Drosophila melanogaster: one gene and its partners. Changing the gene in region 1 together with any one later gene gives a genetic interaction. Each region holds a gene or a part of one and is shown in the gene's direction. Other genes may lie near its edges. The genes, in order: Dsor1, PTP-ER, csw and tor.

Region 1 (7,005 bases):
ACAGATGTACCATTGGAAATCTTTCTCACTTTCAATAAGATAAAGACGCTCACCCAGGATGTGCAGCAGATAGCCAAGGCACTAAGCAACTCCCAGCTTCTGGAGCTGGATGAGACCGAACTAAAGGTCAAGCGACGTACCAAGCTACCAGATCAGCGCGATGTCAACGACAAAACCTTGTATGTAGAGGCCCTGCCTGCAAATGCCACTCACGATTGGCTGAAGGAGGTATTCAGCCGCTACGGACCGGTGGCCTACGTGTCCCTGCCCCACTATCCGGGCACTAAGAAGATCAAGGAATTTGCCTTTATCGAGTTCGAAAAGAGCGGGTCCTTGGAGAAAGCTGTGAAGGCTTTTGCCCAGATACAGGGCGTTTTGTCCGTAGAAACCGATCCCAGTGATCTGGCCAGTGTGCGCTCCTTTCAGCAGCAGCAGCAGATACAACAGAAAGCGGAGCAGCCGCAGTCAGAGGCTGAACAGGTTGAGTTGCCAAAGCGAAATCTAAAAAGGGAGGCCACCGACAAGGATCGCGAGGAGATACACGAGGTGAAACGGGTTAAGTTGGAGGAGGGCCAGCCTAGCGAGACCTCTACAGCTGGGGAAACAGCGAGTGAAACGGATGCAGAGGGCACAGCCGAAGCCTCCGAGCAGGAGGACAAAACAGAGGCAACCGATGGCGATGAAGCTGCCAAAAAGCGCCGTCGCAAGCGCAAGAAGAAGGCGATCGTGGACAAGCCAAACATTGAGCCCAGTGCCCTGGAGCTCAAGGTGCTACCCAAGACTAGTTGGAGCAGTATGCGCAATAAGTACTTGAATCTACAGCGTCGCATCGTCAGTGAGGCAAAGAGCAAGCTGTGGCGAGAAAATCACCCACAAAATCAGCAGCACCCTCACCACCAGCAGACCAGTCATCCAAACCATCCGAAACCTTCACAGCTGCCCGAGGCAGTTAAAGAGGAGGAAACCGGAGGCGAGGTCCCTAGCGATGGCGGTGAAGGTGCCGTAGAAGCAGCGCCTGTGCCAGCCAAGCGTCGCAAGGCGGTGCACAAGATGAACATGAATTTCTACGGCGCCGGCGGCGTGGAATCCACCAAATCCGAAGAACCTTCGCAGGAACGCACGCCGCTCTTTAAATACGAGCCCGGGCTGATTGTGGAGTGCTCCCTGCTAAAACCATGCACCAATGTTAAAGAATTTAAGGCTGAAATGCGCCAATATCCGGATATTAAATATGTGGATATTAAGGAGGGCGACCAAGTGGCCCTACTACGTTTGGGCACGCCTGCCGCAGCCGAGGAACTGCTACGCCAGGTCAACTGCTCCGAGAGGCAGCTGAAAGTGCTCTCTGGCCAGCAGGAGACGCTCTATTGGCGAAAAATCGAGCAGGATCGCGAGGCGAAACTCTCGAAAAAGGTGCGCGTGCAGCAAAAACGCGGTCGCGAGAAAGTGGGCAAAATGCTGGGCAAGCACATTAAGTTTGATGATGGCGATGATGAAGTGCAGGCGGCCGCCATGGACTGAGTCACTTTCAGTTGAGGGGTGAGTTTGGATTTCATTTCAGGAAACTCTATAATATAAGCTATATAAATTTATAAATGTAAGCAAAAGATACATTTAGATCTAGCACAAGATTTCGTAATATTAGAGTAATATTGTAAAAACAAATTGAATTTTTAAAAAAGAAACTTCCTAGTGAAATTGAAATAAATCTTCTGAATGAAACAAACCATTTATTTTTACAAATTTGTCTGATCTTACAGGAACGAGAAAGAGATGGTTATATTTTCTCTTTCACTTATTTATTGATACGATCAAAGAATTGTGCTAGATAAAAGATACAAAAAAGAACTTTTGGCATTATTAATAAAATACATTTCCTAATTAATTATGTACACGTTTTTGAGAAGATCTTGCTATTCCTAATGGTTGCATATTTGCATTCGTTATTATGTACACTGTAATGGAAAAGTTAGCTTATGACCTATTAACCCCTGTAAAACTAAACTATATGTAAAGTGAGCCATCCGCTGGCCCCAAATAATGCATCGAGATGAGCAGGACATCGATGATGGTCCAGACGCCGAGGCCGCCAAAGCTGAACAGCTTTCCAATCCCTTCCTGCCAGTGGCCCAAGTAGAATCGATCGGCTCCAAAGCCCCCTAGCGTGAGGCTAATCAGCAGGGCTGTGCTCCACCGATAGCCCTGCGTCCAGTTGCATCGCAGGTTGCGGGTAAAGGATCGATTGCCGAGGCAGAGCACATCATGGTGCACGGTGCAGTTGGTACGGAATAGCTTATCCGTCGCCGAGTTGCAACTGGAGCGCTGGCCACAGCTCTGTTGCCACATTTCCGTTTGGTAGCAGTATCGGCAATTCATTTGTCGCTGGAAACTCCGTTCGCCCAGGCACTGGACATTGTTGATCACCTCGCAGGTTACATTCAAGTCCCGGCCGTAGATGCATCCATGATTGTAGTTGCAACGGATGCAGGGAAACTGCAGGCGATCACAGGGCGTTTCCTTATCGTACGGGCATAGCATGTTGTTGTTCCCATTGCTGCTACTGCTACTGCTGCTGCTGCTGTAGGCGGTTATGTTGTCCAGGAGTCCACCGGCACCTCCTCCACTCTTGGCCACCATGCTGGACACCAGGGGCGGCACATACACCTCGTTATCGTTGGCATTTCCATTGCCATTGCTCGCATTGCTGTTATCCTTGTGATCGCCTTTTGAGTCCGATAAGTCCATCTGGTTGCCACCGCTGGCCGTTTCGCTGTTCCTGATCCCCGTCAGCACGAAGATCATGATCAGGACAATGGCCGATCGCATGTTGACCACAATGCACTGTCGTTGGAGCCTCATTTTGGTCAGATAGAGCGGGGAATACGCCGGAAATGTTATTGTTTTTCCCTTTAAGAAAATGAGTGGGGTGGGAGAGTGTGACCGTATACGCGTGGCATGAAAATATCAACCGCGAATGCTCAGGAGAAATTTCTTTAAAAAGCGTATCGAATAGTTTATAGATATGTTTTGGCTCAATTAAATTGGCTAAACAGATAAGTATACCTCTCCCCTCATCGTAACAAATTAGTAATATCTAATCCTAATATCCTTTCCATTTAAGTTGTGACCATTGGCCGCTTTAGTCGTAGGAGTGTATTAACGGTATTTGGTAATCGCGACATCTGGCCATACCGCACCGTCTGCGAAAAAAACCCAAAAGTCGCCGATTTTGGCTGATTATTGCAAAAATAATATTAACTATCCGTTTGCTGTTCGTGTGCTCGGTTCGGGTGTGTTAAAGTTAAGCGCAACGCGAGGAATTGGTGCAAATTTACCAGCGGCTGGACACACAAAACGAAACATTCGCACTTGGCCTCCCTTCGCACGCCCCCTCGCCGACGCCCCTCGCCCCTCACACCCTTCAGCCGTTCGTCGGACGCCGCTGTTCGTAGTGCGTTTTGTTGTTGTTTCCACTGGAACACTCTCTATTTGTATTGTTTCATTTATTAGTTTTTTTTTGTTGTTGTTATTGTTGTGTGCTTTAACTTATCGGTAACGGATAACGGTATCGAGAGATATATATTATATATAGTAAGATGTCGAAGAACAAGCTGAATCTGGTGCTGCCGCCGGTAAATACGGAGGCAACTGTTGCCGCCGCCACAGTGGCGCCGACGCCGCCATTCAAAACCCCCTCGGGCACAGAGTAAATATTATACATAATATCCTTAATAACTGACTGGTTTTTAGGCCACCCATTCCAATAACACCGCATCCCCCCTCCCTCGCTGTTTCCCCTTCCACTCCTCGTTTTCGGTTTCCTACTCAGTGGTAAGATAATCCTGTAGTTTTGCGAGTTAGGTGGGTAATTAATATCCATCAATTGATCCAAGGAAATCCCATCCAGCTGGAAAGAAAGAGACAGTCGGAGTGAAAGAGCAGGTACTCTCTCTTTGTTTGTTGGTGTGGGTGGTGCTCCTTTCGTGTGACGCACAGGTACACAGCGAGAAAAAACTTACTGAGTAAATACAGTAAACTGTTTTAGTGCTTTTTGGATTAATTAACGGGATGACAAAGTCAGTTTCGAAGATAAATAGAAATTATAATTTAATAGTCCTACCTTTATCGTATATTTTTTTGTGAGCACCAAAATGTAGGCAACATAACATAACACAATACATATGTAATTTGATGTGTATGTTTGTGTAGTTTTCTTATTATTAGGAGAAACTTCGGCCCGCCCCTCATCCCATCCCCCACTTTCAAATCCCATCCATTGCTTGCACTTTTTACATTTTCGTTTTGGATCGCAAAAATTCATTAAGAGGTTAAATTAAAGCACACACAGTTTGCTGGGGAAGCCCAAGACGAGCATCGATGCGCTGACAGAGACGCTGGAGGGTCTGGACATGGGCGACACGGAACGCAAGCGGATCAAGATGTTCCTCAGCCAGAAGGAGAAGATCGGCGAGCTGTCCGACGAGGATCTGGAGAAGCTGGGCGAGCTCGGATCGGGCAATGGCGGCGTGGTGATGAAGGTCCGGCACACGCACACACACCTGATCATGGCCAGGAAACTGATCCATCTGGAGGTGAAGCCGGCGATCAAGAAACAGATCCTGCGCGAACTGAAAGTCCTGCACGAATGTAATTTCCCGCACATTGTCGGTTTCTACGGCGCCTTCTACAGCGACGGCGAGATCAGTATCTGCATGGAGTATATGGACGGTGGATCACTTGACCTGATCCTCAAGCGGGCCGGTCGAATACCAGAGTCCATTCTCGGCAGGATCACGCTGGCGGTGCTCAAGGGCTTGAGCTATCTGCGCGACAATCACGCCATCATCCACCGTGACGTGAAGCCGAGCAATATCCTCGTCAATAGCAGCGGCGAGATCAAGATCTGTGATTTCGGCGTCTCCGGTCAACTGATCGACTCGATGGCCAACTCCTTTGTGGGCACCCGTAGCTATATGTCGGTAAGTAACTGGATAGCTAATCAAAATCTATACTTAGGTGTATTAAACAACGGAAGGTCGATGAAATCGGCGAAAGTATTTAAAAAAGAACATTGCAATAGCAAAACAAGGCACTCATCTATGCACAGATGTTAAATATAGCCAACTATAAGAGATCTATATAACTCACATGCTAATGTCCTCTTTGTTTCAGCCGGAGCGATTGCAGGGCACCCACTACTCCGTGCAGTCGGACATCTGGTCGTTGGGTCTGTCGCTGGTGGAGATGGCCATCGGCATGTACCCCATCCCGCCGCCAAACACCGCCACCCTGGAGTCGATATTCGCCGACAATGCGGAGGAGAGCGGCCAGCCGACGGACGAGCCCAGGGCAATGGCCATCTTCGAGCTGCTGGATTATATTGTAAACGAACCGCCGCCCAAGCTAGAGCACAAGATCTTCTCCACCGAGTTCAAGGACTTCGTGGACATCTGCCTGAAGAAACAGCCCGACGAGCGGGCAGATCTCAAGACCCTGCTGGTAAGCAAACGAAACGTCGCCATTTCTTCAGTTATATATATATTCAAGTTGTTTTATGTATTCTTCGGCAGAGTCATCCGTGGATACGCAAGGCGGAATTGGAGGAGGTGGATATATCCGGCTGGGTGTGCAAGACAATGGACCTGCCGCCATCGACGCCAAAGCGTAATACGTCGCCCAACTAGACGCCTCTGCGTTCCGGCCCCCATTTTCTCTATCCTCCCATATCCACACTTGCTCTTTGTTCAATAGAGCGTTGACGCTGGGCAAAAACAACTGAACTATTATTATTATTATTATTAAATCGAAAATAAAGAAATCGAAGTCATACCATGTATGATGGGGTGTTCTTATTATTTGCATTGGAGGATTATCTTTAATTTTAAAATAATGCATAAAATTATAATGTGTTATTGCTAATCTTGCAAAAGGTTGAATACATAAGCGAATTAATTGTATCTCAATTAAATTTTGTCATTTTTATTCAGACTTCACTCCATTGTATGAAATACATTAATTCAAAAAAAAAAAAAAAAAGTATTTGCCGATCTAAATGGGAATCCCCTCAAAAAAATATATATTTCAAACAAAATATACTGAAGGTATTTTTGGATGTGCGTGTATTTTGGTCACACTGTGAGAAAATAAATAAATCAATTCAGTGTGGCCAGAGTGTGTCACAACAGCTGTGGAATTTGTATATAAACACATAAACTAAACGCATACACGGGCGCTCGTGCAGCTTGATACAGTTACAGTTACAGATCCAGCACGCAATTCGCGGCCAATTGAAACGATTCAAAGATCGCGAGTGGAATAGATCGGAGGCGACACCAACACACCAACACAACAGCACACAGACGTACGCGCACTGTGGCAAGAGGCAGCGTTCTTTGTTGCAAATTACCGTTGCATCCACCTTTCAGCGCCACCCCCTCCATCGGCCTCACCGATTCGCGATCCACGATCCGCCTTCTGCCAACCGCCGCCAGCCAGTTGCTTCCAGCCAGTGATCCGATGCAGACGTTTCGCTGAAAAGGAGCGCACAGCCAGAACAGAAGAAGAACCATGTCGGCGGTGAACCAGAAGGAGAGTCCCAGCCGGGACTCGACGGCCTCCACATCCGGGCACATATCGATGCTGGCTGACAACACATTGGAATCGCTGTCGCGGGACTACAGCCTGGGCAGCTTGAACTCGGCGGGCAGCCAGGATGAGTTCTTTCGCTGCCGAGACCATGCGGACAATATACTCAAACGGATGCAGCTCTACGTGGATAGCCAGCAGCTGTGCGATGTGGTCCTAATCGCTGGCATCGATGGAAAGAGGTGAGAGCACTGAATTCTGATCCTGGAACTACGATTCCTGGCGTTCCACATCACTGCGATCGATGTTGGAACGATGGTCGGCAAGCAGCGGGGATCGGGATCATGGAACTCCTAGTTTCCAATGCCAATTCCCCATACCCTTTCCACGGAGACAAAGGAATGGAATATGGCATTTCAA
Region 2 (9,605 bases), on another chromosome or scaffold:
TCGCAGACGATTTCTAGACAGCGAGCTACTACCACTGGGAAGACTTTTGTAGTCGAAAGGTGATTGATGAAAACTGCGCGTAGTGGGAGTCTGTAGCGGAAGACCCACCTCCCGTTGCAGCATTTGGGCTGTCTGGGAGAGACCGTTGCTTTCCAGGTGCTCGAAGATAAGCTGATACAGCTGCTGCTTGTTATACTGGATGCGTGTCTGGGCGATTACATTGGCCTTGTGCATGTTGGACAGCGATGGATCCAAAGGATTATTTAGCGGTTTCGTCTTACCCGACACTCGTTCTAGCAACTCCAATGCGTACTTTTGGAAGATTACATGTTCCGCGCGCTTCTCCTGGAGTATGGGATCCCGCATCAGCGTCTGGAGTTGTCCGCTGGCAAAGAGTGGAAGCTTGCTGACGATCTGCCTGACCCGATCGGAGCGAGCAAGTCCCGCCAAGGCCCTACAGGCCATTCCACGTATACAGTCCGCATCCGTAATGGGTCCTTTGGTCTGCATCAGCGATAGCAAGACCACAATGCCATTGTTGGAGCACACGGACTCCCACACACGTTCAATCAGCTCTTCGGCGTACTTATGGTTGGCCTTGTTCTTCCTGGAGGACGTTCCAAACTTAATCAGGCTGGTGCCGCTGTCCTTGCGAATGATCGGAGAGCAAACACAATGGCACAGCACCGCTAACGCCGATTTGATAACCTCTGCATCCGAGCTAATCTCTCCTGCAGCAGCGCCCAGAACCGAGCAAAATCCGGAGGTAGTTGTCTTGTCTAGCATCAGCAGGCGCTCGCAGAGCACAACATAAACTCTTGGGATAATACAGCATACGCTGAGCACGTCCAGAGCCGAGCGCACCGTCTCGGAGCGTCCACTGTTCACCCAATCGTAACTGAAGGCGATGATCCTGAGTAGCATGGTGATTCCACCAAGCTTCATTAGCTGATCCACGGGTTGCCAGTGCGCCCGGATAGAAGTGTGCTCCTGGAGCGTGCGAATCTGGTCGTTCAATTGGTCAAAGGTCAGTTTGGCAGCAACCGTGGGATTCTGATTGAAATAGTGGGCTGATGACGGTGCCGGGGATGCCGCATTTGTTTGGCACAGAAAGCTGTTGTACTTGTAGAAGAAGTGCGCCTCCATATAGCGCTTGAGGGCTACGCAGACGTGGCGCACCATTTGTCGGGAAGCACATTCTACGTCTTCGTTGAAATCAGAGTCATTATCGCTGTCGTTGTGGCTCGGATCAAGAATTTTTAGTACGGAAATCTATTAGGAAGAAGTTAAGGTAATTGACTTTAATCGAACTTCTTTCGTTTAAACCATTTACTTACGACATTGTACAGCTTTCTTAAACCATCCTGAGCATCAAACTCATCCAATATGACCTTAAATTGGAAGCTCAGACTGAAGAACATGGTGGCATGGCACTTTGAGGAGTCGTGGCAACGACCCAGAATCCAAAGCGCGTAGCGAACTAGTTCTGAAATAAGTGGTCTTTGCATACTGCATATGCGTTCCATGGCGTCTTCACAGTATGCTAAGTAGTAGATGGCGATGGACACACCAGTAGTCGCCAAACTGGGGCGGGGCACTTTTAACAAAAGCTGTAAAAAATAGTAAAGTTAAAAATAATTACATTCCCTCTACAAGACCATTTACTGACCTCCAGTCCACCGTGTGAAATGAACTCTAAAGCAAACTTCTTGTGGCAAAGAAGGGAAGCCAGATACTTCAAAACTTCGTAGGCCAAGCAGGTGTCCCGGCGATCCAAGTTCTCCAGGTAGCCAAAAATTAGCTGCATCACATTGTTTTCGAAAGCCATGGCTAGGAACTCTTGATATTCGCCCAGGCTGGTCAGGAAGCGCATGATTAACATTTGGCTGGTATCTGCTGTGGCCGGGTGCAAAGGAATGTACATCCGTTTGTAATAGCGAGATACGGAAAAGGCATCTCTGCTGTTCTCGAACAGAATGGACATATTAGAGGCGTCTCCATGCTGCGAGGAACTTGCTCCCAGCCCACTGCCATTGTGCTGCGGCGATTGAGGAGCCGATGCATTACTGGCGCAGGCCACCCAGCTAAGCATGCCCGCCGTGCTGCTGTCAGCCGACAGATTGTGCATCGACGTATTGACATCTGAAGTGGCGCTCTTGCTGATCGCCAGGAGCATGTGCAGACGCTTGATCATCTTTGGCACCAATCGAATATTAAGATCGCGAAAGTTTATGGCTATGTCGCTCACTTCCATCGCTTCGGCTAAAAGCCCGGTGGCATAGCTCTGAAGCGGTTCAATGCTGTCCTCTGCCCAAGAGTAGATGCGATTGATGGTTCCATCGCCTTCGGCGGTCTGAAATACTGCAGAGGTCTCCATTCCTGGCATTATCTCCAGAATGAGGCGGCAGGCCAAGATGTTTAGTTCTAGAGAACTGCGACTGACATTCTGGCGACTGAAATAGTTCTCTCGCAGGTAATCGTTGAGGAGCTAGTTAAATAAAATATTTCACTTTAGTTAGCTTATGTTTTGGAAATTCTAAAACACCTGATTTTAAGAAAACATTTACATTGCTTTTTAGAAAAATAAAAATCACATGACTTTATTCTTACTTTGCCCATGAAGGTATCCTTCCGAAAGAGCAGCTTGAGTAGCAATCCGTACTGGCAGCTGGGATCGGCTCTATATGGATGTCGTGAGTCCAAGGGATCCGGATCCTTGCGCCGATACACGTCCTTCTCACGCTCAAAGATCTCCGCAAGGCTGCGATAGTAAAGGTATTAAGTTGGACCCATGCGTTAATGATTTTGAAGCACGCTTACCTCCTGAGAGTGGGCACTGGATCGTATCCATTTTGGGTCTGCTGTTGCTCCCACTTGTCGATAATCTGGGTGAGCTCCTTCTTGGTGGCTTGGCGACGGTCGGCGGCAGCGGTTTCCTCGGCGTTTCCACCGCTATCGCTTTCGTTTTCCGCATTTTCCACGCTCATGGCGTCGTCAGCATCAGCGTCTTCGTCGGCCTCTGGTTCCCCCCCATCCTGTTGTTCAGCGGCGTCCTCTTCCTGGTTATCGCCAGCCTGCTCCGGCATATCCTCGGCTTCTGGCTGCTCCTCCTCGTCGCTCTGGTAGGCCACAGCCACAGCTTCAGCCATCAGTGCCGCTTCAGTCGCGGCCTCTGCCTCGGCCGCAGCCTCTGCTGCGGCCGCATTCTCGCTTCCGCTGCCCTCAGACATCGAAATGAATTACTGGGTTTTGGATGCACTAGGTCTTGATCCAGTGGCTTTCTTTGCTAGATTTTCGACACAGCGAAACTTACTTCTAATGGCGAAATAAAGCAAATAAATAAGGTATTAAATACCACGCGCTTTTCGCAAAATTAGTGTGGCCTTTTGCTATTGTCGTTGAAATAATGAAGTCAGCTGTCGCACAAATTTGTTTGTTTTCGTCTTTCGGCAAATTAAACCAATCTAAAAGGTCTTTAAATAAGTCTAAAGTACACAAAAGGATTTAAATGCCTAACTCAATTAATTATTTCCAAGCAAATGCACAGATAAAAGCGTGCCAAAGAGCAACGTGCAACTGTGAGGTAAACGGAACGGTGGTAATAGGAACACTACGTTGTTGCTTCTAAATTGTTCACAACTTTGTAGTGATTTCATAAACAAAAATACAGGTAGGTTGAAATACTATTTAGAACTAAGTCTGTGATCTTTTACAACAATTTTTCTGGATGCATGCAAAATATAATTGTCTGATACCATCTCAGTTGATCGATTGAATTAACTATCGCCCGTGTACAACATCTGCATTACAAATTCTGCAACTCCTTGATGTAAACACTAGATCTGTTAACCTATTCTTTCTTTTTATTTTAAAAGACACTTGAAAAATGCGGTTAAATTAGGTACAACGTTGCCAGGTCTTGGTGCAGTTAGTCTGCGGCCTGGCAGCACGGTAAGCAATGAAGGCATTGCCGGATCGATTACATACGCGGTCTGGTAGCCCTCCATGCTTTAGCTCTGAAAATGTTGTGAAAAGAAAACGCTCTTTTCCCCATGATTTGCGTCCAATTCGGAAGTGCTAACTGTGCGGGCGAGATAGTTATAATGCCGATCGAGTGAGGACAAGACACTAAACGGGCGGAGCGACTGCGCTGCGATCGCCCCGCTTCAGCAATTGTGTGTGTGTATCATGGACAAGCTACGAAACAACAACAAGGAGAATGCACCCATTGAGTACCCCTACCCACAGACCCCCCGTCCCACCCACGCCGCCCCCTCCGACACGACCCCACTTGAAGCTGGCGAGGATGCGGAGAGCAACAAGAGTACACCCTACTTTACGCCCCTCGAGTACCTGCAGACGTCCTTCGAGTTTCCGTCGCCCACGGTGGAGGTTGGGGGCGGGGTTCCGGGCTTTCCCGAGCACGAGGATCAGGAGGAGGAGGTCTTCACCCCCCGGCAGTTCACCATTACCAGCCCCCATCCAGCAGCCCACGTCCACCATCCATCCAGCTCACAGTCTCCCACTTTAGGCCGCAAGTTCAAGAGGTTATCACAGTATGATCGCCGATCCTGCTCGCCGCATATTAATACCTCCAGCGGCGAGGAGCGGGTCAGTGGCCGTGGCATCGACAAGGAGAACACTATGCCCAAGGGCGGGTCAGTCGACCAAGACCTAGAGAACAGCTTGTACTTGTCGAAGAGCGAGCACAACTCACCCACCATCCTGTTTAAGGATGAGTCCTCCACGACGCCGGGACTGGAGGCCAGTCGCCTAAGCTACTCCCCGAAACTACTATCCTCCATCAACAACCTAAACGTGTCCGGTTCACCCCTGAACATTATTAACTCGGCCGGCTACAAGAACGGCAACTTCTTTCGCTTCCCCGAGATCGATCATGTCGTGCAGGATGCGCCCATGGATACAGTCTGTTTAGAGGAAGCTACACGTCGGGATCGTAGTCCTGCGTTGGCCGAGCCGCCGGAGCAGCAGCAACAAAAATCGGAAGGGCGAAAGAACCGCAAGAATAAAAATAATCTCACCATTCGCATCACGGACGTGCCCATAAAAAACTCGAGCCAGCCATCACCATTGCCCAAGCCCAAGACACCGACTATCAAGAGCACCAAGGAGAAGGCCCGCTCGCTGGACTCGGCTGCCAACGAATCGGAACTGTCAATCGTGGTGCACAACATAACCGAATCTCATGGCAGTTGTGATGACATGGAGACAGGACAGAGCCAGCCATCGACAAGTGTTATCCACCATCACCTTCATCTTCAACAGCCCGCATCCGCTATCCACTCAACATCGCTCTCGCGACTGGATAGTCACCTAAGCTTGGCCAATCAAAGACGAACGCCGCGCAGAAAGTCACCAGGAATCAACACCACTGACTGGCTTATGTACCACCGCAAGCAGAACCCATATCAGGTGCAACCGACACACTGCAGCTCCACGACACAAAGCTCCTTGGACTCGGACGCCAGTTTAACCCCCAGTTTGGGGGACTTTGAACTGAAGTCCGCCTGTAGCGTGGACGGTGGCTCGAAGTTTGGAATAGGCGCAAGCCTAGCGCCGAGAAGCGCCCACAAGCACAATCAGTTACTGCACTCGTCCAGCACAAATTTAAAAACGCTTCCCGAGTGCCTTACCCTGGTGGAGTTCTCCTCCTCTGGCGGTGGTCCTAAGGAATCGCCTTTCAAGCAGAAGTCAATGGATTTGCCGATGCCGACACTCCAGGCAAAGACCACAGTGTCTACATCATCGATGAATCTCCTTCAGCGTCGGGGATCCAATCACAGTTTAACGCTCAACCTGCACAGCTCTTGTGGCAACCTAATGAACAGTGGACTAAGTCATTCCAACTATAGCCTGGGCTCAATACTCAACTCCAAGTCCAGCTGCAATTTGGATGCGGGAACCGCCAGCCAAATTCGAGCGGATCAATTGCCACAGTCACATCTGCTGGGAAGCAGCCAGGGTAGTCGGCAGGGGTTGTTCAGGAGGCGGGGATCAAATCACAGTATCACCCTGAAGACGGGGCACACTACAACATCGTGTGGAGATCTAAACTCCATGCAGCAGCTCCAACAGCAACAGGCAATGTTAAGTGCGGAAAAGTACAACCGACTCAATATGCGAACCAATTCCACCGGCTCGGGATCGGGCTCTGGATCCAATGTACCTACTCCGAAACGAGGACTTTTAGAACGTCGTGGCTCCAATCAAAGCCTCACTCTCAACATGGGCAGCATACTGGGAGGAGCAGCAGGTACCGAGATCCAGATGACGGACATCGTGCAACCGAAAGTCACGGTTTGCAGTTGTGCTGCCGCCAACCAAGCCCCGCATCAGCGCAAATTCTTTAGCACTGAGAACTTGAACAGCAGTAAAGCCAATAGCCAAAAGTTCTTCGGGCAGGTATGTTTCGGATCCGCCTCGGACTTGCAACCCAATCCTCAGCAGGATTCGGTGAGGGAAGATCAGGCCATTGGCGCGACGTGCACTTGCGCTGGCACCGTACGCAACATTATGACCCGTCCTCTGTCGCCCCAAACGACTAGCGAGGAGTTCAAGATCTACTTGGCCAGCATACAGATGCTGCAGAGCGCCTCCAATCCACTTAATCAGTTTGATCTTATCCGGCTGAACTACGTGTTCGATCACAGCTACCAGACGAATAGGAACATCATAGAGCAGCCGCCGGTGCTGGGCTCCAACGCACGGGATGTGGAGACACCCACGGATATGGTGCCCCCGAGCTCGGAGGACAGTGAACTGCTCGCGTCCTACCAGACAGTGGTTAGTAGGATGGCGCAACCAATACCGGAACTGAAAGAAAACGAACAAAAGAGAATCTTTCGGGATCTGCACAAGGAGTTCTGGGACCTGCCGCTCAATCACCAAGAGAAGCCAATGGTCTTCGGCTCGCAGACAAAAAATCGCTACAAGACTATCTTGCCAAACGAGAACTCTCGCGTGCTACTCGAATCCGAGTCCAGCGAGCTGACTAGCTTGCTGGGGGAAATAAAACGGACCAGCTCCGTGACCGCTAGCGAGGACTTGCCCTACATTAATGCCAATTACATCAAGGTAATGGAACTAAGCGCAAATCCAATGAAAGTAATGTATATATTTCCTTCATTTCAGGGACCCGACTACGTGTCGAAGTGCTATGTGGCCACGCAGGGTCCACTGCCCAATACAATCTTCGAGTTCTGGCTTATGATATACCAGAACACGCAGCGCTACATAAGACGGTGCGTGGATGGAGGCAGCAGCAGCAGTCCTCACGTTGACAGGGAGCAAATCCTGCAGCAGTACTTCCAGAAGATTGTCATGCTCACAAACTTCACGGAAGCGAACCGGCAGAAGTGCGCCGTCTACTTCCCCATCGAATTGAATGAGATCTTCGCGGTGGCCGCCAAGTGTGAAGTGTTTCAGCTGAGTGCGGCTGCCCGGGATTACTTCGATCGGTATTTAACGCCCACCTTTGTGCCGGACACTGTGGTGGCTTCCTCGGATGCGATCGACTATGAGATAAGTGGCCGGCACATAGGCGTGGAGTCGGTGAAGGTGACGCTGGAAGGGGATCTGCTGGAGGCTTTGCCCGCCCAGGGAAGCTTCTTCCTCATTAAAAACGTCGGCATTGTGCGAAGAAATGGTTACTCGGTGAGAAAGCTGGTGCTGCTCTATTGCATTCGTGTGCCACAGAGTGCTAGCTACCACCTGCAGAAAATCTACTGCTACCACTATTGGTATCCCGACTGGCCGGATCATCACTCGCCTCGGGACATCAACACGCTGCTGGACACCTGCTTGCATGTACTCAACCTTGGAAAGTGTGAGTCGGAGTTTGACATCTACGATGACACCAGGAGCGAGAGGAATGCCCACCTGGCTGCTCAGCGGCTGGAGATCTACCAGCAGGACATCTTCAATGCAGTCCAGCCCCTTCCCGTCATCCACTGCTCGGCTGGAATTGGGCGCACCGGTTGCTTCACGGCCATCCTGAATGCAGTGCGCCAGTTGCGGCAGTCGTTGGCCTACTCGCTGACAGGAATGCTCACCAAATCGCTGACCAGCAGCTCGACAGAGGAGTACCATAACCCAACGGACAGCGACAGCAGTTTTACTTGCAACACCATCCGGCACATCAGCCACATTCTGGATCATCGCGATGCGGAGGCGGTTAAGACGCCGCCATCCTTTGACCGTCTGCCCAAGATGCCGGACATTTTCGTGGACGTCCTGGGCATCGTTTGCAATCTTCGCCTGCAGCGGGGCGGGATGGTCCAGAACTCGGAGCAGTATGAGCTCATCCATCGGGCCATTTGCCTCTACCTGAAACGCACACTGGCGTTGAGGCGATTTTAAAAGCGAGCGAAAACCATGATCAACAACTTTTTGACGACAAAACGATGGAGATGAAGAACAAAACACCAATTTACTATTTGTAATCACAATTTTTGTGGCCCTTATTTTAATGAAAGCAACCGCGACGGACAAGCAACAAGTAAAACAAGAAACCATGGCTAAAAGAGTCTCGAAAATGGAATATGATGGCATTCTCCGAAGGAGGATTGACGGAATGCTTTCAATGTTTTCTAAATATTACTATTACCACATATTCTACATATATATAAATGTTTATTAAGTGTTGGATGTATGTGTGTTAAATGTGTACATAAGTGTAAATGTTTCCGACTTTTGGTGTGAACTATGCTTAAACTAAAGTTAATTAACAATTATTATACCCTACCTTACCTTACCAAAACCATACCTTACCATAAAGATGCGCATCTATATATGACTCGCGACGTTCGTCGACGCCCCTCGGTGAGTTGTGCATCCTGCTTGGAGGCGGAGAAAGCTCAAACCTTTCTCAAGTTGGATCCTTCCCTGGGTCCTTCTGACTAAACACCAATTTCTCCAATCCCAAGCGGACAGCTCGACCGCCGGACGTGGACCAAAATACGGACACGAGTTCATTTAAAACACAAGATAAAAATTCGATAAGTAAAATGGAAACCCATAAATGAACATGTATTTAAGTTTATGCAATGGAACTAGTCAAATAAAAATTAGAAACATTTTAAATGTAACCTTAATGTGTAAAGTTGGCAGTTTTATTTTGTTGTTCTTAACGTTTTTAAGTAAAGGGAAATTGCGATGAGTTACTTTTTTGACATTAACAAGAAATTCTCCAGTACTCAAAATTACATCTTTTAATTAGAGCTTTAAGTTAAAGTAAATTAAATGTTTATATTTTCTATTTACAACTTGAACTAATTGACGTCGAAAATCACTCATGCAGCACCAGCTAAGGGTTAAGCGCCTCAAACAGCTGATTTCGACGAACAAAGTTCAGTGTTTCAGATTCAGGTTTTGAGATTGCCGAATAATTGCCGATTAGATTGTTAAGGAAACCCGTAACGGGCTGATTTCACAATGCTTCTTCGTCCGTGTGGAAGACTAATCTTTACCAGGTTTTGCAGCAGCATGAAGGTAATGAGTGCGCTTCCAAATCGCAACAAAATTGTTCAATTACTTGTTTGTAGGTGAAAGTGCCAGTGAAACAAGGCGTTTTGGTGGGCCGGCAA
Region 3 (6,869 bases), 7.1 Mb from region 1:
TATATTTTTGGCTGGTGGAGCATGGCAAAAATCGAGCAGTATCATAAATCTCGGCCGCTATGGGGAAGCCCACCTGGCTACAACTAAAACTGGGCTCGTCTCTCTAGGCTTGGAGATTGGGAAACGCAACATGTTTGTGCAGGATGCAATAATCCTATAAAACTTTTTACACATTATTTCGGTGCTTGAGTTGGTGCCACGAATCCTGCATTGTCAGCAAACAGTATGATTTCTTGTTAACAAGCTGAGTTTTAGCTAAAAAAAAAAAAAAAAAAATGCAGCCCACGCCCACCGGCGGTGAATTTATGATTTGTAAATTATTTACAAATAATATAAGTAGTTCTCCTAATTGCCTCTTCCCGTCTATTTTTGATTTACCCCTTTCTGGGTGGGGTCGCAAAGTACTCATTTTAAAATTTACCATATAACCAAGCTCACAAATGCCCGGTATAATGGCCCATAAACTATACTCTCTGGCATTTGCCGCAAAACAGTTCTGTTGGTTTTTGGCTGATTTAGTGCGAACACGTCTGTACAGTGGTCCCCGCAGCGACCCACAATCGATTTGCGATTGCCAATTGGCTATTGGCTATCGGCTATTGGCTTTTGGCGACTGAATAACCCATTTCGAGGAGCTGTCGCCGCGCATTCGGTCCGGCACGCTTCACTTACGGATTGGGCTTTGGCTTCGGCTCCGCTGGCTGCCATCCCTGGGTCCCGAGACCAAATCTCAATCTCAATCCCAATTCGGAGTGGCGAACAATCAGTGGTCGGCACATATGTAGCTGTGTGCCTAGCATACTAACCATCCCCCGCCTCCGACTGAACAATAAATTATGTTTATTTCTGGCCCACTCCCCATCGCACCTACGAATGGTTTTGGCTGTGCCCAAATGCGGTCTGGGTCTCCAGCAACGAAATCGGGATAGCCAAGGTCGCGGAGCTCAGGAATGGAGCACTGGGGATACTGGGACTGGGCTGTCGCTCTGGCAACTGGTACCGATCAAGTTTATTTCTGGGTAGGGCGGCACTCACGGCACTCACTACTTCGCCGGAACTTTTAGTAATTCCATACGTAATGTAAACACGTTGGGTAGGCTATTGGTCAATGCCACTTCTAAATTGCGTTACCCGATCATTTCTAAGAACTTAAACTTGCGAATGGCCAATGTTGGCCTCGCTCTTAATTCTGTATCGATAGCAATCAGGTAGCTCAAATCATCTCTACTCACTTTTAATGCACTTCTCGTCTTGCATTTGCCATTGCAATGACTAATATTCTTAACCGACACCTAACTGCGCCCAGAAGCCCCATGTGGTTTCCACGGATCTGGTCCACCTGGCCTGGAACATCCTGTTTGCATTGATGCATGCATGCATAGCTACATGGGGTTTCCCCGACTGGTTTGAGCTGAGCATTTTCAATTTTGATCGAACACTTCGGAGACAATTTCCATTGAGTGGATTTTGAATGTGGTTTGGGTAACAAGTTCTAGTTGGTTTCCAGCGAAAAAACAATGACGAAATGTTGGAAAAAAAAAAAATAGTTCGTCATCGTTGGGAGGCATGAATACGAGGCTGGAAGTAAAGTGTTGCTAGATCGCAGTTCGCAGGCTGTCGCACGTCGAACGATTTTGTTTTGCTGGCCAAAAAAAAAAAAAAGATATTCTGCGCACGTTCGCACCTCTGACGTCTGCGCCTGCGCTGTAAGAGAGCTTTGGCACTGCTCGCTTCTAGCTCCCACTTACCCAACTACCAACCTGCCCACCTGCCCACCAACCCACCTGCCCCCCAGCAAACCCAGTTCCTTGCCTAGATGGCCGCCACAGTAGTTGCTGTGCGGCTTCAGTTTCATTTCCGGTGGCAGGCAACGGACGGCGCTAAAAGCGCTTTTTGTATTTGCTTTCTTACAAGCCAACAACACACTCATATCACGAAATGACCATTTTCGGATTGGAATTAATCTTATGTGCCTGCTTTTCGAAATGTGTATGATTCGGATTCTGATTGCGATGAACTCCATGACTCATCCAGGAGTACAGTCATTACGAAATAAACATAGAGTGGAGCCCGCTATACATATTTATAGGTATTAGCCTGGCTCTAGCACTTAATTGAAAGTAAATGAAAAGTAAAAGTGTAATTTTTTACAATGTTGATTGCAATTCAAAGTGCTTTCGCTTTCTGAATAAACCGTAAGTGGCGTCCACAGGATGGCTACAATTAAGTGGCGCCCGCTGAGGGGCCCAAGCAGTTTGATGATACTGAAACAGGAGCCCAGGGGAAAGCTGTGCACACACCCACTGCCAATCAATTTCAAAGTTACGTCTTTCGCTCCGTTTTATTTACTGTGTTTTTTTTTGTATTTGTTTGTGACTTCTGGCTCGCTGACAGTAAATAAAGCCCATAAATAAAAACACCCACCCACGAGATCGACAGGAAGGGCTAACCAGAGCGCCGGCTGGATTTAAAAACAAAAAGCGCCGTCCGCAGCCAGTCAAGATTCAGATTCATTCATACCCCAGCGCTTAGAACACCACCAGGCCACAGCTCCCGTCCGAGAGATATAGCCACTAAGAGAGAGCGGAAGAATCGAATCGCAAAGAGAGGAGCCGCGCTGAGACAACGTCAAGAATCCGATTTCGATTCCGATTGCGATTTCGAATCCGAGGCAAAAAGCTTCAGACTCGGCAGCAGGCGCTTCATTCTCGAGTTGTGATCCAACGGGTTAGCAGCTCAGCTCGCAAGCAGTCGCCGTTCGTCGTCGAGCGGCAAGCAGTTCGTTTCATTTCTACTGGGCGCCAGTACAAGTTCCATCGAGTGTTTTTGTTATTCGAAGGCAAAGCGCGAAAATTATGCCTTCAGCCACATTTGTCCTGGAGCATTTGATGGCGGCACAATCGCGACTCGACGAGCAGGCCGCATCCCCAGCAGAGGTCAAACCCACCAGCACCATCAACAGCAGCAGCACCACCGTGGCCAAGGCCATCAATGTCAAGTCGTACGAAAAGAAGCTGTTGCTGGCTCTCAAGAAGATTGTGCAATAATAAACGAATGCGGGGTAAACAGCACTCTATTTGACAAACTGTAGACATTTCCCCTAATCGAGCTGACTAAGATCAATAAAAAGCAAACAGAGAAGCACAACAAACAGCGGCAAAAAACAAAAACCAAGAATTCTAGTTTTTGTGCTTTCAGTGTGTGTTCGTGTGTGTGGGCAAGTTGTTACATAAAACAAAAACAATAACAAAATAAAAAAAAAATAATAAAAAAACACCCCAGCCGAGACGCATTTTTCCGCAGTGGAATACTACTATCTAAGCTTCTTTTTGTTTTGGTGTGTGCGAGAAAACGAGTGTGAAGAAAATGCTGTTCAACAAATGTCTGGAAAAGTTGTCCAGCTCGCTGGGCAATGTGGTCAATCACAAGCTGCAAGAGAAACAAGTCTACAACAACAACAATATCAACAATAACAATAACAATACGCTAAACAACAACAATGCCTACAACAATCAGCGAAACTTTGAGTACGAAAGAGCCATACAGGCGCACTACGGAAGCAAGGGAAGACGCTCGGAGGAGCGCGAAAGGAGCGGCAAGTTCAAGGCCAGCAAGGGTCGGAAAGCAAAGGTCACCCCACCAACGGAGACACCCGAGGCCCAGGAGCCGGCCTGCAAGAACTGTATGACCCACGACGAGCTGGCCCAGATCATAAAGGGCGTGGCCAAGGGCGCTGACGCGCAACGTAATCGAGACAACCGACTGCAGCGCAGACGTCGTCCTCTCTCCGCCCAACCCTCCGCCGCTGCCTCCGCCTCCACATCGACGGAATCTCTGCACCGTCTTACACCCAGCCCGCAGGCTTCCTACCCGGCCACGCCCACCTCCTGGACAGCCACACCGCCCCAGTTCCCAGCCGCCTTCGGCGGCGCCAGCTGCTCCAACAGCACACTGTCCCTCTTGGCCACCATGCGCGTCCAGCTCCATGGTTACACGTAAGTTCAGGTCGCCCAAAAAAAACGACAGCAGTCCAGTCCAGAGTGTTAGAAAAAGAGCAGCGTTCTGCTAATTTGGGGCGCGTGCGAAATTAGGCACTAATTGTTATTGGAGTGCGAGTAATGAAGTTGTCAGGCTGCCAACTAAACGATACCCCGTAGCAGGTGAAATGGTATTTTGAGCTACCATCGCATCGTAGTATGTCGCCCCGCCTGTCAGTCACATGTCGCGGAGTAGCAGATGATTCGCGGGAAATCTGGAGACAATCTGCTGCCCATCAACATTAACCCTAATAAGGCAGGCAATCACAGGCAGTTGACGCCGCAACAAAGCAAAAAAAAAAAAAAATCAGCGCAGCACATACTGTCATGTGTTCAGAATTGCCACGCAAAATGAGTAAATATTTACGCAAAGCATTCGACTCGAAAACAAGCAATCGTAAATTGACGTTCTAATATGAATGAATTTCCGACTGTCAAATGCCGAAGTGAAGTGAAGGGAGTGGAATGGCAAATGGCAGGGGGCCCAGCTCAGATCGCCACTCAAATATGGTCACATATCAACATATCAACCCCCCCCACACAATTGGCCCGTTGTCAAGTTGTGTTTCGATATTGGTTCTTTCATTTAGAGCTGAAGATTGAGTTATTGGTTAGGCACTGGCTAAATTACGCACTTGTAGAACCGGGAGAGTTCGGCGAATTGCCCACTGCAGACATCGTATCTTGGCCCACTGCCAGATCGGAATTATCTCTTCACTCGCGCCCGGAATGTTTACCCATGTCCCGCTGTTGCGCTGTCCGTCGTCCACATTCCCCAAAGATTCCATCCCACTCCGTGTCTGATCTTGGTGTTTATCTGCCCGGCTGTGCCATGTGCCGTCCGATTGTTTGTGTGGGCTGGCCCCATCTTGGCGATCTCGATTCGCACAGTACACCCAGAAAACAATCGCATATGTATCTGCTGGACTATTATTATGTCCCATAAATTATCTTTGACTTTTAGTTGAGCTCGGATTGGTAGTGCAGTCGGTTTCGGTTGTTGCTTATTTATTTATTTTGATTTTTATCGCAACGGATTCATAATCGCTGAACGTGTTGATTGGCTCGTTAACTTGATCTTTGTTTTTCTAATTTATGCTCAGCTTTTATAGGTATCCTGCTTTAGGGCGATCTTTTCGTCGTTATCCTAAAACGCACATCATGCCAAATGATCTGAAGATGATGTGCCAATAGCTTTGACAGCTTAAGCTGCGTGATTTCCGGATTTCACTTGTCACACTCACTAGGTCAACAATGGGGCACCGCCGTCCTCTGCCCTCCGCCTTGTAGAACTATTAACCTTCCGATGGTTTTTCTTCTCGCCATAAGGCTGATTAACGATTTATGAAATTACATTTCCCGTAATGGATTTCGAGCGCTGCCTTCTGTTTTGCATATTTCCGTTTATTTGTCCGTTGCACAACCGTGAGCTGTGGCTACTGATCAAATAAAAGCGTTTAATTTGTGCAAATTCATAACGTCGGCCGACTACAAGATGCTCTCAGTGGAAAGGCCCAATTATGGGGGGGAGGGCTTTGTTCTGGGGTTGTAACTCCATGGAAATTTTACAATTCTATCCCAGACTCTCCCCAACTAGTACTTTTCCCCGTCCAGTTCTCCAACTTGACATATCGTTTATATGCTTATTTTAACAGTTTGAACTGTTCAAAAAATATTATGTTTTGAATAGACTGTACTACTACTTCACACACTGCTTGCGAGTGGGCGGTTAGGGTAGGGGCAAGCAGCTCATTCGATAATTCAATAAGTATCTTGCCGACTTTTGAGTTAATTAATTGAAGGCCTCGTTCCCCTGCTTCCGCGCTCCACCTCGTAACCCCAATACCAGTCGTTTCGCTGCCGCCTTTCCAGGTGCGTTGCCACACGAAAAGCAAAATAAACCTGTGACAAACGAAACGACTAAAACACTGAGGGGGGGATTTGTATATGTATTCGGATATTGTGTACGAATACGCTGCACATATTCGTGTGTGCATGTAAATCTGTTTGTTGACCTTAGCGGCGCTTTCATGAATGGCGCGCAGCTTCCTCCGTATGGTAAATACAAATACGCCACATTCGCATTCGCTGCTGTAAGTGTAACTGTAAATGATGCAAAAAGGTGCAAAATTTTCACTGACGTACTCGGGTGATGGTAATTCCATCTGCTTGTATTTTTAACCCCCAGTCTGCCCGATTTAAATCGCTGAGTGAGAGCGCAACAGAAGTAATTTGTGTTGCTTTGTATTATCGTCACAGTGCTAAATTTAAAGATAAACACCGAAATATGGGTGGAGACGGAGACACAGTTTGGCAGCACCGCAGTTCGGCAGAATGACACAAAGGATATCAGCGATATGATCGATGTGGGCTGCGATAATTGCTAAGTTCAACTCGATTGCACGGGGTCAGACGGCAGAGGGCGATGCGTCCACGAATCCGAATCATTTTAACTACGGCGATCGCAAACAAGCGATCGGCCAACAATACGCAAATGTGCTAATAGATGTGGTCCGAAAACTGTGAATTGTCTTATGCAAATAACTCGGGAACCTTTCCATACGCAAATCGTGTGTGTGTGTGTGTGTTGAATCATCCGAAAGAATGCGCAGTTCGTATTTACGAATATCGGAAATCGGAATCATTTTTCCAGAAATTCTAACTTTTGCCTAAATGAAGATAGAGTAAAAACTGAGGTTGGGATGCTATCGATTTGGTGCAAGCAGTGCACAGTTTCCGTCTACGTGAAAGCAAGCAGTGCATATAGACCTGCTTGTAATAGATTTATAACTTCCGTTTTGCTAAAAATAAACCCATCAAACTCATTCTTAT
Region 4 (8,594 bases), on another chromosome or scaffold:
GGAATTCGCGATTGGAGTGATGAAGATTATAAACTCGGCATGCAATCGCCGTCTGGGTGCAAAGGTATGCGGCGATTCCTAGGAGATTACCCACTTTCAAGAGCACTATGATTCAATAAGCATTTTATGCTGTGGGTCGTATTTCTTAAGATTTATAAGTCAGTTAAGTGATAAGCTGTATTACTTTTATACTACATACAACGAAATTACAAAAACATACAACGGATTAAGTTGTATGCTTGTATGATGAAATAATTGTTTTTTAATTGAAGGCTGTAGTTTAAAAATCAATAAAGCTGGTTGAACAGGGATTATTAGAAATAAATGATAATGCTGTTATTACTACATTTGGTATATTCTGCGCTCATTGTTATGTTTTTTCCCTATATATCAATTAATAAATCATAGTTATTCATTTTAAATTGAACGCCAACTTCTACTGATCGTTGATCAACACTGTTTGCCGTCTTATCGATAAATAATTGCTATCAATAGCGATAGCTGCTTATTCAAAGTTTCGATCACTACCCGTCGTTTTAAAAAGCTTGTATGGCAATTTTATTTGCCTGATAAAATTCGTAATTTTTATATTAAATGCTTATAAAGCACTCATTTGATCACATTGTTTAGACAATAACTTCTCGACTAGTGTATAATCAGCTTGTCCTGCTTGGAGTTCGGTATGTACTGATCCTTGTACTTGGCGAACATCTTCTCCAGGTCGTCAATAACCTGTTTGTGTATCTTATCCACATAGGCTGCGTCTGGTTGATCGCTCTGAACCACGTCGATGGGAGCGCCAACTGAAATTTTTTAAAGTTTATTTGAATCTTACAACTATGCGACATTTGAATGAGCTGAGGACTCACCAACTTGGACAATGCGTCGACGGTTGGGCAGAAAGCCAAAGGAGTAGTTGAAGATGCCCCGGCCAACGGGAATCAGCGGAGATATCCCCGTTATCCTCTTTACAAAGTCTTGAAAGCGACGAACCCGAGAGTTCGGTGGATTGGCAACCTGATCCAGAATGTCCACCTCGCCAAAGGAAAACGTGGGAACAATCGAAGACCTAAAATGAAGACCGGATACAATTAAAAATAACTTTTAGTTGTATCCGATTTCAACCTACCCTGTCCTAATGGCCATTTTAACGAATCCCTTGCGGTTCTTCAGTGTCAATATATATTTGCCAGGGTGCGAGTCTAGTGCCTCCTGGGCACCACCCACCAGAATAGCCACCGCGTTGGAGGTGAACCCATCACGATTGTCCTTGTGCTTGGGATCGTTTGATTTGGTTAGCAGATATACTAAGGCCTCCTTGGAAACCGACACCAGGCCCCAAGATCTCAGGAGACCACGCACGATGGGCGTCAGGAAGTTTTGATCCAAAGTGGCCACCTTGGGCCTCACCTGTGGGAACAGTTGCAGCCACTTGGAGATGTCTAGACCCATATTAATGGAAATGCCAGTCCTATCAGGGTTACAATATGTGCGTAAGAAGGTATACAAATGTTTCGTCACCTAAGCAACCATCGATAAGATTGACTATCAGTCAACAAGCTTACCCCAAAATTCCGTGCGGAAAACTGGCCAAAATGTAGTTCTTATTCGGCGGCAGCTCTGCGGTCTTGACCAGCTGTACGGGAAAGTAGTCCCGATAATGCCGAAACAGCCAATTGTTGCGGTTAATTTTCCAGCTAAAATGGATTATTTTAGCTTTAAGTGTTCTTATAGGGACTTCATGACGCCTACCCATTGCCATCCATAATGGAGTGGGTTCTCTTGTGATTCGCGTAGACGTAGACCAAATAGATGACCATAATGGTGCGCCACAAAAGGCTTCCATAGAACTGGAAGGGAATGCTTTACTTTTCAAAATATTGAAGCACTGATGTATTTACCAGCACGGCAGCAACGAAGAAATAGGATCCAAAGGAGAGTATCATAAAGGATAGGATTAGGAAGGCCATGGCAAACGTCTGGCGACGCCGTTCCATGGGAACTCCTTTGGGAGCCCACTCGATTTTCATGATGTCAGAGCTCTCGAACTCGGAAAGTTGAACTACTTGGTAGCACGGTCCTCCGGCGACTGAAAAATGGAAATGTTCAATGTTTAGTTACCATTTCTTATCCTTATCAGTATCCGTCGGTGGCGCGAGTGCGTGGCTATTGGTTAGAGTTGTTAAAAAAATACCTTCGATTTAATGGCTATTCGCTTGGGGTGTTTAAAAATTCGAGCAATCAAGATAATGACTTGCTCTATATGGACGTCTGGCTAGAATGCCGATATGATATTATATGATATGATCTTATCATTGCCAACAACAGCCGGCTTTAACGTTTGTCCGATACTTGTGATCACATATATATAATTATTGTTTTGAAATTTCAATTGCAACTGGTTTGAATGCCTTTAGAAAGAGAACGAAACTGCTGTTGCACGACAACCTCCTCACTTTAATTGAATGGTGATAAAACTAACTGGGAGTTACTCGTATTGCTTTTGATCCGATCCGCTTTGGCCTAGTATCACAGGCTAATTATTTTAAACTTGTAGAGCTTTAATAAACTAGACGCTCCCATAGAAATTTATTATTAATGTTTACACACGTAATGGATCGTTATCGCGTTTGAGCAGCAGAACCGACGATGCGAGCGTACAACATTTAACTAAACTTGCGAGTGGCACTGAATGCTCGAGTTTCCCATGTGAGTGTTTCGAGTACTCGAATGCGATGCAACAATTGAGTCACCAATGTAATCGAGCGTTCTATACGAATAACCTGAATCAGAGGCAACTGAGGTCATGTGCATTTGCAAGTCGCTATAAGGAAATACCTGTATTGTCAGCTCTGTTCCAATTGAAATGGAATCAGGGAAAGTGTGATCACGCAAAAGCTACAATGTGGGCGAAATTAGCATAGTTGTTTTTTGGTTAATTTCGAATATTGGCGCCCAACATGGTTTCTAGGGATGGAAGCGACCAGCACTGCATTCTGATTTATCGGTTTGCTGCAATACAAGCTCTTTTGGCGCAACAGATCATAGAAGATTGAAATACAAACGTTGTTGGTGGTATCACAAATGAAAATTGCGAAGAGTTATCTGAAGTCAATGTTCTATGCTTATCCCAAGCCCTGGCGCTACTATGACGGAGTAGCGATCCAAATTTTTGCATTTCAAATGACCCCTAGTCCAATCCCATCCATACGATCAAGTACAATACGATGCAGTGAAGAGGTGAAAAACAAATCAAAACAAAATAGCGCAAAATATATTCAACGAGTCCGCCGCTTCTCATCATTCCTCCTTCTTCGTCGCTTTTTTACCATCGCATTTTTGGCCTCAGTTTCTCAGTTCTTTCTCAGTTCAGCAAGATAATCCGAGAAGGACGGATGGTATTGATCTCGAAAGTTGGAATCTAGAAACTAAGTATTCGAATTTGCTGTGTGTGTTATTGAGTTTTGTATCAAAGTGCGTGGTGGCAAAAGTGCAATAAACTTTAAGTCGGTTTTAAACAAATACACATTTCATTCCAACACACACACACCGACACACAACGAAGAACTAAAGAAGGGTTTCAAAAGCAGAACAAGGAAAATGCTTATTTTCTACGCGAAGTACGCATTTATCTTCTGGTTTTTCGTGGGAAGCAATCAAGGTGAAATGTTGCTAATGGACAAAATCTCTCACGATAAGACGCTTCTCAACGTCACCGCTTGCACCCAGAATTGTCTGGAAAAGGGCCAGATGGTATGTTTACACCCTTAGAATGTTGGAACACTCCATAACCAAAAGTGCATGCTTCTTTTCTCGACAGGATTTCCGAAGCTGTTTAAAGGACTGCAGGATTAATGGAACATTTCCCGGGGCTCTGCGCAAGGTGCAGGAAAACTACCAGATGAACATGATCTGCCGCACGGAGTCGGAAATCGTTTTCCAAATAGATTGGGTGCAGCACAGCAGGGGAACCGAGCCGGCTCCAAATGCCACCTACATAATCCGGGTGGATGCTGTCAAGGACGACAACAAAGAAACTGCGCTTTACCTGGTCAGATATTAGATGTAAACTCATTACTATTTACTTTAAAATACCATTTTATTTGATGAATTTCTAGAAAAAGATGTACTATGTAGTCATCAAGACCTAATGTTTCGTTTTACAAGTGGATCGCTCTTTTTCATCGACTTATTCGCTTGCAGTCTGATGACAACTTTCTCATCCTGCCGGGATTGGAGTCCAACTCTACCCACAACATCACCGCCCTGGCGATGCACGGAGATGGCAGCTACTCCTTGATAGCAAAGGACCAGACCTTCGCCACCCTCATCCGAGGCTATCAGCCCAGCAAAATGGGAGCGGTGAATCTGCTGCGGTTTGTCCCCCAACCAGACGACCTGCATCACATTGCTGCCGAAATCGAGTGGAAGCCATCGGCGGGTAAGTAGCTCCATCAGTTTAATCAATCAACGATCTACGAACCCTACTTTCATATTCCAGAGAGCAACTGCTATTTCGACATGGTGTCGTATTCAACCAACAGCGTGAATATGGACGAGCCACTGGAGGTGCAGTTCCGGGATGTGAGTATGCCATGACGCCCCTGCAATGCTAGAGCATAGCTAATCTTTTACTGCAGCGCAAAAAGCTGTACAGGCACACGGTGGACAACTTGGAGTTTGACAAACAGTATCACGTTGGCGTAAGAACGGTGAACATAATGAATCGACTGGAGAGCGATCTGCAGTGGCTGCCAATCGCTGTTCCAAGCTGCTTGGATTGGTATCCCTATAACTACACACTCTGCCGTAGGTTCCTCGAAAGTCCTATATAATAATAATATTAATAATAATAATATTGTTCCACCCTTTCATAGCACCCCATAAGCCAGAGAATCTTACTGTGACCCAGAAGCAGTATCTGCCAAATATTTTGGCCCTGAACATCACCTGGGCGCGTCCCAGATACCTGCCGGATAACTATACACTTCACATCTTTGATCTATTCAAAGGAGGTACGGAGCTAAACTATACACTTGACCAAAACAGGAGCCACTTCTATGTACCCAAGATCACGGTACTGGGTTCCCATTTCGAAGTACATTTGGTGGCCCAGTCGGCAGGCGGAAAAAACGTATCCGGTTTGACGTTGGACAAGGTTCATCGAGGTGTGTTGCTGAGCGGTACGTACGCTGAAGGAAATTAAATATTTAGACATCCATTTCCATCCATTGAACAGAGGGCAACATGGTCAAGTTGGTACTCTTTATTATCGTGCCCATATGCTGCATTTTGATGCTGTGCTCCCTGACGTTCTGCAGACGAAATCGTTCGGAGGTTCAGGCGCTGCAAATGGACGCTAAGGACGCGAAGGCCAGTGAATTTCATCTCTCCCTGATGGACAGCAGTGGCCTGCTGGTCACCCTCTCGGCCAACGAGAGTCTGGAAGTAATGGACGAGCTGGAGGTGGAGCCACACTCGGTGCTCCTTCAGGATGTCCTCGGCGAAGGAGCCTTTGGCTTGGTGCGACGTGGAGTTTACAAGAAACGCCAAGTGGCCGTCAAGTTGCTGAAAGGTTGTACCATTTGGTATTGAAGTTCTTGAATAATTCATGGAATTTTTGTTCTCACAGATGAACCAAACGACGAGGACGTATATGCGTTCAAGTGCGAAATTCAGATGCTCAAGGCCGTGGGCAAGCATCCAAATATTGTGGGTATCGTGGGATACTCCACTCGTTTTAGCAACCAGATGATGTTGCTAATTGAATACTGCAGCCTTGGAAGCCTGCAGAACTTTTTACGGTAAGTTATTTTTATACATATTGGAAAACAAGTGATGTATAGTAAAAAATGTATTACTTAGTGAGGAGTGGAAGTTCAGGCAGGAGCAAAATGCAATTGGACTTAAGAAGAACCTTGAACAGAACGTGGACAACCGACGGTTTAACCGACTCCCTAGAAATTCCATCCATGATCGCATAGAGGATATCAACAACTCGATGCTGTCCACTGTGGAAGAGGAGAGTGAATCGGATCAGACACACTCAAGTCGATGTGAGACCTACACCCTCACTCGAATAACCAATGCAGCCGACAACAAGGGCTATGGCCTGGAGGACATTGAAAACATCGGTGGGAGTTACATTCCCAAAACCGCTGAAGCTCCAAAGGATCGGCCAAAACGGAAGCTGAAGCCGCAGCCCAAGAAAGACTCGAAGCAGGATTTCAAATCGGACAACAAGAAGCGAATCTTTGAGAACAAGGAATACTTTGATTGCCTCGACTCATCGGATACCAAGCCCCGAATACCACTGAAATATGCAGATTTGCTAGACATCGCCCAACAGGTGGCGGTGGGAATGGTAGCCTACATCTACTCTATCCCTAAATGTAATTAAAAAGTGTAGCATGTATCATTTGCCATTTTAGGAATTTCTGGCCCAAAACAAAGTAGTGCATAGGGATCTGGCTGCCCGGAATGTTCTAATCTCCGTAGATCGCAGCATCAAGATAGCAGATTTTGGGTGGGTATCTCTGAAAGTTCAATGATTAGTTATATTGTGTTTTTTTTTTTAAGGCTGAGTCGAGATGTGTATCATGAGAACGTGTACCGAAAGTCCGGAGGAAGTGGCAAGCTGCCCATCAAGTGGCTCGCGCTGGAGTCCCTCACCCACCAGGTGTACACCAGTCAGAGCGATGTGTAAGTATATATTTTTGTTAAGTCCGAAGCGATTTTGTGGCTGATATCTTACCCTCTTAGTTGGTCCTTTGGTGTGCTGCTCTATGAGATCACCACTCTCGGTGGAATGCCATATCCGTCGGTGTCTCCCAGTGATCTCTTGCAGCTACTGCGACAAGGTCATCGGATGAAGCGACCGGAGGGATGTACGCAAGAAATGTGGGTATCAGTGCTTAGCGAAGTACATAATTGTTGATCACATTTGCTTAACTCAGGTTTTCCCTGATGGAAAGCTGCTGGAGCTCCGTGCCATCACACAGGCCAACATTTTCCGCCCTTAAACACAGACTTGGTGGCATGATTTTGGCCACTAACGATGTTCCAGAAAGGCTGAAACAACTGCAAGCTGCAACCGAGTCAAAATTAAAGTCATGTGACGGTCTAAACAGGTAAGTAATCTTTAAAAAGACAATTGTATACGTTACTTTCTTACCTTTTACAATTTAGTAAAGTGGAGCAAGTGCCATGCGAGGAAGAGCTATACCTAGAACCTTTGAATTAATAGTCATTGCTTCAAGATTATAATGAACGAGTGCAATACATTCTAAATTCGAGTTCCAATTCAGACAATGCTATGCGCCAGATAACCTTGCATAGCAATAAACATTAAAGCTAGCCTAAGAAAAATTTAATTTCTTTTTTATAAGAAAAACCAAGATATTTATAGAGTAAACTTCTAGCAGTGCCCTTTATGTCTCATAGAAACCGACCATTTCAAAATGTTTGTGCCTCCTTGCGGCTTAGGTTTCGAAAGAAGGTCGTTTATTTGGACCCCAATCAGCATCATTTTTGAAAATTCCAAATTGAAAGTCGGTCCAAGCTGGCTTGTTTACAGTGTTTCAATTCTACTTCTGGCCACCTCGATCGATGTGCATCCACTGCTGTCGCCTCCGCCGGACACCATGTCCACCGATTCCCTACAGCTGTCCACACTGCCCGGTGCGCACCATCTCCAGCTGCTGTCCACTGGGCAGTCGGCCCCTCGCCGAGAATCCTTTCATAAGAGGTCCGGATCGGGAGCCAACCCCCGATCCCTGCGACACCTTGCCACCGCGCTGGCTGGACCTCAATCGACGGGTCATATTTGCCTTGGCAAAAAGATTATGTCGATCTCCAGAGGCAGCTCATTATATTTTGCTTCGCCTGTTGTATGCCAACTATAGAAAAGTGATGATGATATCCAGAAAACGAAGGAGATACAAGGTGCCACTAAGTGGGTTTCCCGATCAGGATTTGTTCTCCGCCAGCGCACATTTCGATAGCAATGGTTACCTCTCCGATCCCATGGCTCCCGAAACTCTGGGAAAGCTACTCCACATGATGCAGGACTACATCCTTCGGCTGAGAGCGCTGAATCGCAAGTACAAGTGGTGTGGCAACGGCGAGGACTTTGGAGATGTATTGCTCCTATTGGGAGAGCAAGACGAACTGGTACGATTGTTAAGAGATCTCTTTGGAGACAGCGATGTTGTGTCCATTCCAAAGCTCCTGAGCGCCCTTAGCGAGCTGGAAATCAATAATTTATACGGAAAGTACAAGAAGAAAACAGTTCCCTTTATGGTGAGAAGTATATCTGATCTCTACTCCGAAGTGACGGAACCAAAGAGTCCAGTTTTGATATCATTAGCGCACATAGCCAACAAAGGAGTTTCCCCTTATGGACCGAGCCACTTGAAAAACATCTTGAATTTCAGTCCAAAGTCCTTGCCTATGATGGGTAAACACCCACCGCCTAAAAGAAGTAAAAGTGAAAAATGCATTCCAACATCAAAAACGAATTTAACCCAAGCAGTACAAAATACCCAAAAAAAATCGAATTTCAAGGAACCAGCAGACAGTACTGGGATTTTAAG

What was found.
Region 2: of Dsor1 (region 1) and PTP-ER, changing one suppresses a phenotype caused by changing the other (phenotypic suppression), as found in Drosophila melanogaster (2 studies listed by BioGRID).
Region 3: of Dsor1 (region 1) and csw, changing one suppresses a phenotype caused by changing the other (phenotypic suppression), as found in Drosophila melanogaster (2 studies listed by BioGRID).
Region 4: of Dsor1 (region 1) and tor, changing one suppresses a phenotype caused by changing the other (phenotypic suppression), as found in Drosophila melanogaster (2 studies listed by BioGRID).

What each region holds. Positions count from the first base shown.
Region 1 is NC_004354.4:9,244,203-9,251,207, forward strand, and holds Dsor1 (downstream of raf1), read left to right. Parts: upstream 1-3,139; 5' UTR 3,140-3,596; coding exon 3,597-3,706; intron 3,707-4,339; coding exon 4,340-4,979; intron 4,980-5,172; coding exon 5,173-5,499; intron 5,500-5,570; coding exon 5,571-5,684; 3' UTR 5,685-5,835; downstream 5,836-7,005. Other genes in the region: Larp7 (La related protein 7), read left to right, coding at 5-1,521; amx (almondex), read right to left, coding at 2,005-2,859; CG17754 (uncharacterized protein), read left to right, coding at 6,568-6,827. UniProt on the Drosophila melanogaster protein: Required downstream of Raf in the sevenless (sev), torso (tor), and Drosophila EGF receptor homolog (DER) signal transduction pathways.
Region 2 is NT_033778.4:21,618,821-21,628,425, reverse strand, and holds PTP-ER (protein tyrosine phosphatase-ERK/Enhancer of Ras1), read left to right. Parts: upstream 1-3,979; 5' UTR 3,980-4,188; coding exon 4,189-7,095; intron 7,096-7,152; coding exon 7,153-8,379; 3' UTR 8,380-9,105; downstream 9,106-9,605. Other genes in the region: mahj (mahjong), read right to left, coding at 1-1,272, 1,338-1,610, 1,670-2,488, 2,611-2,761, 2,821-3,230; clt (cricklet), read left to right, coding at 9,454-9,510, 9,564-9,605.
Region 3 is NC_004354.4:2,099,781-2,106,649, forward strand, and holds the start of csw (corkscrew), read left to right. Parts: upstream 1-2,508; 5' UTR 2,509-3,366; coding exon 3,367-3,995; intron 3,996-6,869. UniProt on the Drosophila melanogaster protein: Required in all receptor tyrosine kinase signaling pathways. Functions downstream of the receptor tyrosine kinase torso, acting in concert with D-Raf via tailless.
Region 4 is NT_033778.4:7,703,952-7,712,545, reverse strand, and holds tor (torso), read left to right. Parts: upstream 1-3,361; 5' UTR 3,362-3,600; coding exon 3,601-3,753; intron 3,754-3,820; coding exon 3,821-4,051; intron 4,052-4,203; coding exon 4,204-4,441; intron 4,442-4,501; coding exon 4,502-4,584; intron 4,585-4,640; coding exon 4,641-4,809; intron 4,810-4,877; coding exon 4,878-5,183; intron 5,184-5,239; coding exon 5,240-5,575; intron 5,576-5,632; coding exon 5,633-5,804; intron 5,805-5,865; coding exon 5,866-6,364; intron 6,365-6,431; coding exon 6,432-6,526; intron 6,527-6,579; coding exon 6,580-6,702; intron 6,703-6,762; coding exon 6,763-6,900; intron 6,901-6,956; coding exon 6,957-7,130; intron 7,131-7,188; coding exon 7,189-7,243; 3' UTR 7,244-7,363; downstream 7,364-8,594. Other genes in the region: CG1941 (uncharacterized protein), read right to left, coding at 646-803, 870-1,069, 1,130-1,471, 1,566-1,697, 1,753-1,850, 1,902-2,030; CG34216 (uncharacterized protein), read left to right, coding at 7,609-8,594. UniProt on the Drosophila melanogaster protein: Probable receptor tyrosine kinase which is required for determination of anterior and posterior terminal structures in the embryo.